Linked DNA regions of Coturnix japonica. The protein of the gene in region 2 purifies or fractionates together with the protein of the main gene of each other region. This does not show direct contact. Links are inferred from orthologs where the notes say so. Each region holds a gene or a part of one and is shown on either strand. Other genes may lie near its edges.

What was found.
Region 1: the proteins of SCLT1 (region 2) and KIZ purify together in Homo sapiens (co-immunoprecipitation; 3 studies listed by BioGRID and IntAct, counting the BioPlex papers as one, with this or other methods). This does not show direct contact. The link is inferred for Coturnix japonica from reciprocal best matches to the Homo sapiens genes SCLT1 and KIZ.

What each region holds. Positions count from the first base shown.
Region 1 is NC_029518.1:4,145,226-4,149,141, forward strand, and holds the start of KIZ (centrosomal protein kizuna), read left to right. Parts: upstream 1-1,380; 5' UTR 1,381-1,438; coding exon 1,439-1,527; intron 1,528-1,695; exon of another isoform or gene 1,696-1,808; intron 1,809-1,922; exon of another isoform or gene 1,923-2,071; intron 2,072-3,237; coding exon 3,238-3,300; intron 3,301-3,916. UniProt on the Homo sapiens protein: Centrosomal protein required for establishing a robust mitotic centrosome architecture that can endure the forces that converge on the centrosomes during spindle formation. Required for stabilizing the expanded pericentriolar material around the centriole.
Region 2 is NC_029519.1:30,028,592-30,032,507, reverse strand, and holds the start of SCLT1 (sodium channel and clathrin linker 1), read right to left. Parts: upstream 2,557-3,916; 5' UTR 2,473-2,556; coding exon 2,445-2,472; intron 2,144-2,444; coding exon 2,082-2,143; intron 1,774-2,081; coding exon 1,682-1,773; intron 1,266-1,681; coding exon 1,196-1,265; intron 1,045-1,195; coding exon 989-1,044; intron 614-988; coding exon 481-613; intron 1-480. Other genes in the region: C4H4orf33 (UPF0462 protein C4orf33 homolog), read left to right, coding at 2,757-2,783, 3,160-3,349, 3,873-3,916. UniProt on the Homo sapiens protein: Adapter protein that links SCN10A to clathrin. Regulates SCN10A channel activity, possibly by promoting channel internalization.

The DNA.
Region 1 (3,916 bases), on a different chromosome or scaffold from region 2:
CTCATGTTTGCTTGGCACTGGGTCACCATCAGCAGGGCTGGTGTGGGCTGTGAGACAAACCATGCGGTCCTACAGGTCCCATCTCTGAGACTGGACAGTTGATTCCCTTTCCGCAGAGACCTGGAAGTCATGGTTGGGGGAATAACATTTTCCAGTAGGTAAATATAATATACGTTCAGAGCTTCTGATGGCAATAGAAGCGTTTGAAAGTTTTGATATTATTTTAGCAAGCACAAATATTTTCCAAAGCAGTTTAGTCTTCCAGAACCAAGCCTGGTTTGTCACCAGTACGGCCCTGACAAAGCCAAATTCTTTGCCTGTTTTGAAAAATAACAAAATTGTAGTATATGAAAAGTGTTTTCTTGTTCAAATGCCATGTAGCATTTGACAGTTTTCTGCACCGACAATCAGCGATGCATTCAAAGTATGTGTCAGGCTGACAGGGTGTTTCATGGCTGACATTTGTAAATAGCAAGTTTTTAGTGTCTCACCTCAGTGTCAGAGGGGAGATTATTTACTTTGACGTAGATATTAGCAATACGAGCTCTTGCAAGCAATTTAACTATGAAGCTGCTATGAAAACCTTATTATTTCCAAGCAGCCAAGGAGCGGCTCCAGTTGGAGTGGCAAGACCCCACACTGAGAAGCGGTGGCTGAGGCAGGGTGGCTTCCATCCATATCTTGGGGTTAAAACTATCCAGCTTTGGAAACTCAAGCAAGGCCAGATCTACATTTCTTCTGTTGTCTTTTGTTAAGATGTGAAACAGGGGCTGTGGTGAGGTCTCAATAACACATACTTGCTTTCAATAGCTAGAAGAGCGAGAAAGAACAGTGCACCCTTTATTACGAGTGCGTTTCGTGTGAATTCAATAACAAAAGGCTCCCAAATCTGCAAACACTTTGCATACGGATTTTCTTCAGTAGACAAGCTCTTACACCACCTACAGCCTTCTGTATCTTATAGAGCCATTTATTTATAGTGGATATACAGAGGCTAAGCCAGAGAGTAGTTATGATTATTCAAGTGACAGAAGCTAATTTGGGGGGCATTATAAGTACTGCTGCATCACTCCGGCAGAGGTTCTGCTGTACATTTAAGCTTGGAGGACTGAGTTTAAGGCTGTAGGCAAATGCTGCCCTGTGGGCACAGCAGCTGGAATGGGGTTATCACTGTGGGGGATCATCCCTCTGCTGAGGCTCTGGGGCTGATGAGCTCCGCATCCAGACCCCTCACAGCTCCGCTGCCCTTCTCTGGACACACTCCAGGCCCCATACTGCAGTTAACCACGCTCCAACCCGCAGCTCGACTCCACACACAGCCCCAACCCGCTTCCCTTCCCCCTCAATCCACACAGCGCGGCCTTCCGGGGCGGGGCGGGCGGGCGGCGCGGGGCAGGGCGGGAGCCGTTGCGTTGGCCACGGCCGTAAACAGCGCGGCATGAGCGGAGCGGGCCGAGCATCGGGCCCGGAGGGTTCTCCGTCCCACAGCCGGCAGCTCCGCGGCCTCATGCGGAGCCTCCGAGACAGGTGAGGGGGAGCAGGCCGCGGGTGGAGCTGTGGGGCCGGGTTTGGATGCTGAGGAGAACGAGTGTGGTGAGGCAGGGCTCGGTAGTTGATTCCGTGTCTGGTTCTACGGTGGTTCTTATTGCGTCGTATCCAAGTGCTTCACGGTTCTCTGTGTGTTTGTCTCTACAGGGTGTCATACTGCTCCTCCTGCATTATGGATATGGGGCTGAAGCACTAAGAGGCTGAGGCCTGATATTGCAGGAAGCATTGAGGCATCTTAGTCCTGCTGGTTTAAATGAGAGGTGAGGGATCAGATATCGCTGCAGGTCAATGCCTGGTGGAATGCCAGAGCTTGTAGCTGAGCAGGGAGTTTTAATTCTGCTTTCAAATCCCAAGCTGACCCTCTTTTTCTTTAGGCTGAGGAATCGGGGTTGTTTGAAAATGAGCCACCTGCATCCTTACAAAGTTCAGCAGTTCTTGCCTGTTTGAGAAGGAATTTTATAACTGATCATTTGCTTTAACCTAATGGGAATAAAAATCCCAGGCTGAGAGCTTTGTTCTTCAGGTAAAAAAGGTGATGTAGTAACAGAGCGGCCAAAGGTAACCCTTGTATTCCTTCAGGCTTCACTCCTGTGACTGACACCAAAGTTGTATTAGAACAACTCCAGGGCTTCCACTTCATTGCATGAATAGAGCAAAGCAGCGTGAGCCTTGTGGTTTGCTGTTCCAGGCATTTATAATACTCAGATGCTGAGAGGCTCTCACATGACAGTTGCTACATTTCTCTATCTTCCTTCTAGAGAAGATCTGAATTACATACTCAGGTGCTACCTGTGTATCTGCAGGACAGGCCGGTGAGTGGGATGCTGGCAAAGCACACTGGGAGAAAGAAAGCAATCTTTGATGAACTAACAACGTGCTGCCTATGGTACTGGGGAATGAGAAATAGGAGAGATGCCAATGGCATCTGCTGACTTTTACATCCATCAGGATATCACAGTGTTCTTCATCGAGTCAGGAAAATTACTTCTAGAAGTGTAAAAACAAGATCTTGAAATCTGGTTTTGCTTAGCTGTCCATCATGTAAAAGGAAATTGAAAGGATGAGATCCCAGATGAAGCGTGGCTTTTAAATTGCATACATGACATGAAAACGTAATCTTGCTTCAGACCGTGGCAGGATCAGATGGGTAAAATGGATGCCTTGATCTCACGGGCTGTGGAGGAGGAAGCCTTTCCTTGCTTTCCTCTGTGCAGGGCAGCTGGGAGGAGGTGAACATGTGTGGCTGTGACATGAGGCTGTTCATAGGGGAGCACAGGCACATGGAAAAGCATGCCTAGCCACGTGTGTGCATACAGACTTGTCCACATCACACTCACATGCGCAGCCTTCCTAGCTAGTACAAATGTGTGTTCATTTTTTAATAGAAGAAGCAAACAAAAAAGCCATAAGGAACATGCTTTGATTTAATAACGTGCAGGGTTTACAATGCGAGTTTACTGGAAGCCCTTGACTTTGTTTATTTTTGCTCATGGGATGGTTTCTTGCTGTCAGAAATGGTCCGTGGTTATTAAGTAATATTATCACCGTTATTCATTTCTCCTTCTGAAAACAGAGGGTTTTTTTTCTTAAGCAGCCCTATCCTCCCCGTGGGCCTATGCCCATGTGTGCTTTGGGTATTTAAGTTATGAAATAATTGTGTCTTATCCTATGTGGTATGTTTTCTTTCAGTGAAACCAGAAGGCTACAATTGGAAAGGAAGCTGATGGAATATAAGAGTTCCGATGCATACCTGTAAGCCTGATTGAAAGACTTCTCACTGGTTGTTTAATTTCACTTACAAAGACTTCAATATCATGGAGTGCTTACGGAGTGGCACTCAAGGGACTTCTATAACTGATTTTATATTGATATTTTTAAGTGCAACGGAAGATTCAAGCCTTGAAGTTATTGGTGAAATAGCTTATGACAACATAGCTACCTTGCTATGTTAATACTGAATGTTACTATCTTAACAACTGCACAAAACTAACATGCACGCCAATGTGAAGTCATTGTAGTGTGAAATATAGGAAGTGTTTCCTCTCTCGTGCTCTGTGCTACAGTTATCGTGTCACAGGATGCCTGAAAGTTTTAGGAAGTGATAAAGAATATTCTAGGTTCTAAGTTTGCTCCCTGGATTGTTTCTGCATTATCTCTTTAATGTAAGTTACACACACACACACACACACACACACACACACGGAGCTTAAAAAGCCATGTAGTCTCTTAATAATTGTGTTTTATCTCAAAGCTTCTCCTCTTTTCCTCTCTTCTTTTACACATAAGCCATGAAATTTCTGTCCCAAGCAGCTTAGACAGAAGGGTAGCAGTTTCTGGAACTGATAGCATTCCCAGTGAGCTTAGGAGC
Region 2 (3,916 bases):
TGATCTATTCACACGTAACTGTTACTTTCCATATTCCACATCTACTTGCCCCTCATTTCACATTACGCTTTAATTAAAAAATAAAATAAAATAAAATAAAATAAAATAAAATAAAATAAAATAAAATAAAATAAAATAAAATAAAATAAAATGCCAGCCTACCACAATAACTTCAACCCAACAAAACATTTGCTTCACGTTCTGGACAGAAATTCAACAAGGTAAAAATCAGAGGCACTAATTAACATAAAATCTTCCTACTTGTATGAAACTAGAGAGGGACTTCCTTCAGGTTTTGAAGTTGAAAATATAAGTACGGGTGTGCTTGAGGTTTTCTTTAGATCCACACCATCAGGAAGGCCTCAAAATGCTGTCAGGGATCTGTTATAAACCAATTCTGAACCAAGAAATAAACTATCCTTCCCTAATCTGCCAAGGGGCAGAAGAAATAGAAAAGTACAAGCGTTTCATCTCACACACTTGGTTTGCGAGTTGTAGTTGCTCCTGAAGGTTTCTCAGTATTTCTTCATCTGCAGGAATAGCAGTTCCCAGCGGCGTGAAAGGAAGAGCATCCAGCTGCATCTCAAGAGCCTCTTTCAACTCTGCATGCAGCCTGAAATGCAAAGGACTAAGTTCAGCAAAGTATTTAATGCAATGTTTATAAACTAACTGAGGTACCGTGCCTTTGGTTTGTATGTACCATACATCCCTGGCTCACGTTTAAATATATCGAGCAAGATATGTTCTATGAAAAGGGTTATAAATAGTTTAATACCGAGTTCTTTTGCAGAGATATGGCTAAGCCTCCGAAGTTGGTGCTGTAATCTATATTAAACACCTAGAGTAACATTAAGCACGAGTATGAAATCTTCAACTATTAAGCGGATTCAAACATTCCCAAGCCTTAGGAAAAAGAGTTTAAGATTTAAGAGACAGAAAAAAAAACCCACATGAAAAATAGCAGCAGTAGTTCAGTGCACTTATTTACCTTCTGTTTTCCATGGTGACTTGTTCAAATTTCTGTCTCATTTCACTCATTTGCACCTAATAAAAAAACAGCTTTGTGGCAAACGGCGGCAACTTCTTATTTCAATGAGCAATACTGAAAACACTGACAAGGTTAGTTCAGCACAATGCCATCCATGACATTAAGACTTTGTTTTGCAGGAAAAGTCACAGGATGCCAGAAACATACCTGATAAATCTGCAGCTGCTCCCTCATTTCTTCCAAGCACTTCTCATACTCTACGCTCTTTGTTATCAAGCTGAAACATGGAAAAACATGCTTAGAATCCATCTGTAAATGCTGAAATGTTGTTCTGACAATTAACCAGCTTCACAGAATTCATGATCTGAAGAACAGAACAAAACCGTCGCTTCTCTTTATTTCCAAGCCCAACACGCACCACCACCAAGCAAACAACTTCCATCACTACCTTTACAGTATGATCATTAAGCATTAAGCTTTCTAGGCGAGCTTTAATACATTTATATTTCATACATAGATCACAATCCAGGAAGATTAGAAACCAGGCTTTCCTACTGCTTTCAATACAACAGCACAGTAACCTATAAGGTGATGTAAAAAGTTAAACAAATAAACACAGTCCTACTCGTACACTTATTTAAGTAATATAATCTCCCTTTGAAGCAGTATCCCCACTCAACTGGGATCAGTTACCTTTGGTCCATCATCCTGGATCTGGATACACCATCACCTCCAGCGATGTTCTTCTGTAACTGATTATTCTGTGTTTTAGCACCTGTACATGACTGCATGTGGGTTAGTTTTATTTATACTAATGTATGCAAAACAAAGCTGTTTATTCTGTCTACGTTGAAAAGAATATACAGACACCCCAGTAAATGTTTTCAGGTTGGTATTGAAGCCATTGAACATTGGCCAGATTTGAAGGAAATTTTCACTGCTTTTTTTCCAGGAGATGCTTTGATGACAGCTCAGTGAGGGGCTTGAAGCCAAGCAAGACCACACTGAAACACTGTTTCACACACAGATGTATATGAAGATGCATACCTCAAACGTTACTTTTTACCTCGCTTTCACTCCCCAGCTCACATACCTCAGCAGCACTACACAAAACCTCCTCTGCTTCATCCTGCTCAAACACATCCAGCTTCGGATCTGAAAAATACAGGTTAGAGGATCATGCAATGCTAACTGTGAGCTGGGTGAAGCTGGCTGGCACTCAGAAAGACGCAGGTTTGCCCTGAGCTCCACTTAGAGTCACATAACTACAAAACAAGCAGCTACATACAAGAGTAAGGTAACTATACGGTAAGTCAACGCGCGCCCACTCAGAGGGCACTGAGGCAGGAATGATTTTCTTTTGCCGTCAAAGTCTCGCTTGGTTTAAGCTGCATTTAAAGCTGCCCACCCACCCCAAGGCCGGGCACAGCCCCGAGGCCGCCCGCCCAGCTCTCACCCGGCTCTGCCCCGCTGCCGAGCTCCATGGCCGTGTCGTCACGCCAAAGACATCCCCGGCGGGTGAGCGCTGCTAAGGGGAGGGCAAAGGGAAACCGCTCCTCTCGCCCACCCGGTGCGACGGGCACAGCGGGCCGGTAACCGCAGCCCGTTTTTCTCGCCCCCACCTCCACGCGACTGGGAAACGGCCGGTACCGGCTCCTCCCATAACGGGGAGGGGAGCTCAGCGCCGGTCACGTGGAGGGGAGGAGGGTGGTACCGTGCCGGGCTTAAAGCTTCCGGACCGAGCCTGCACGGGGCTTCGGTGTGTGCTATGGGGGTGGTCGGCTGTGGGTGCTGGGTGGGCATTATGAACCCCTCCTCCGAGGAAGTTGCTTTGCTTTGAATTTTCTGCAGTCTTTGTCATACTTCTCACATCACCATCTTGGGTTCTTATATCCATTTACCTCATCTTTTTCACTACTTCCCCCACATCCAATTAAACCTTCCCTCCTTGAGCTTAAAATCATCCTCCCTTGTCCTATCACTGTCCTGTAAGGACTGCATAACACCTCCAGAACGTGATTTCTTTCACTATACTAATGTTGATTTATGCTTATTTTTTCACCTACTTAACTGTGAGACTTTTTTTCTTAACCAAGCAGACAATGAAGTCAGTGTTGGAATGGTAGCTATGTGCTCTGATTGGAACTAATTTTCTTATTTATCTTATGCAGAATGTTAAGATGGAGCTACAAATTGAGCACACGTGGGATGGTTTACCCGTGAGCCATGACCCAGTAACAATTGCATTGAAGCCTTACAATGCAGGACTGCTAATGCAAGTTAGTGCTCCCTTCTTCAATGATCCTCCAGCACCACTTGGAGCTGCGGGGAAACCCTTTAGAAAACTGTGGGACTATGAAGGTAAGTGTAACTTCTGCTGCAAGTATCTGATTAGTGAAGTCACTGATGTTCATCTGTAATTGATCTACCTGGTCGTTATTTAAGTTTCTCTGGCTATTTTTGAAAACTGTTTAATCTGACAGCTTCATCCTGAGCACTCTGGAAAAGACCACTGGCAAAAAACATGGTTGTAACCACCAGCATGGTTAAGAAAGCTCCTTAAGTAACCATGAGCATTGTGGTGTATTCAACTATAAAGTTGAATCAAGAGAGAAACTCTAGTATTCATCACACAATTGACAGTATGGTGAACAGTCAATAAATAGAACTGAGCTGTTGTCATCATGTTGACAGCATTTAAAAAAGCTCAAGGCTGGGATTAATGCACAGCTCTTGAATTAGAAAGCATCAGTGGTGTGCACACAGTCAAACTCAGTGACAGCACAGGCCAAAAACCACTGTGAAAACAATTGACTGTGAAAGGCTTAGAATATAATAAAACAACTAAGTAGTATAAAACATTGACAGCTTGTCTCTTCTTAAGTTGTAGAAGCATTTTTCTTGAGTGACAGGAGTGAGCAGTATCTA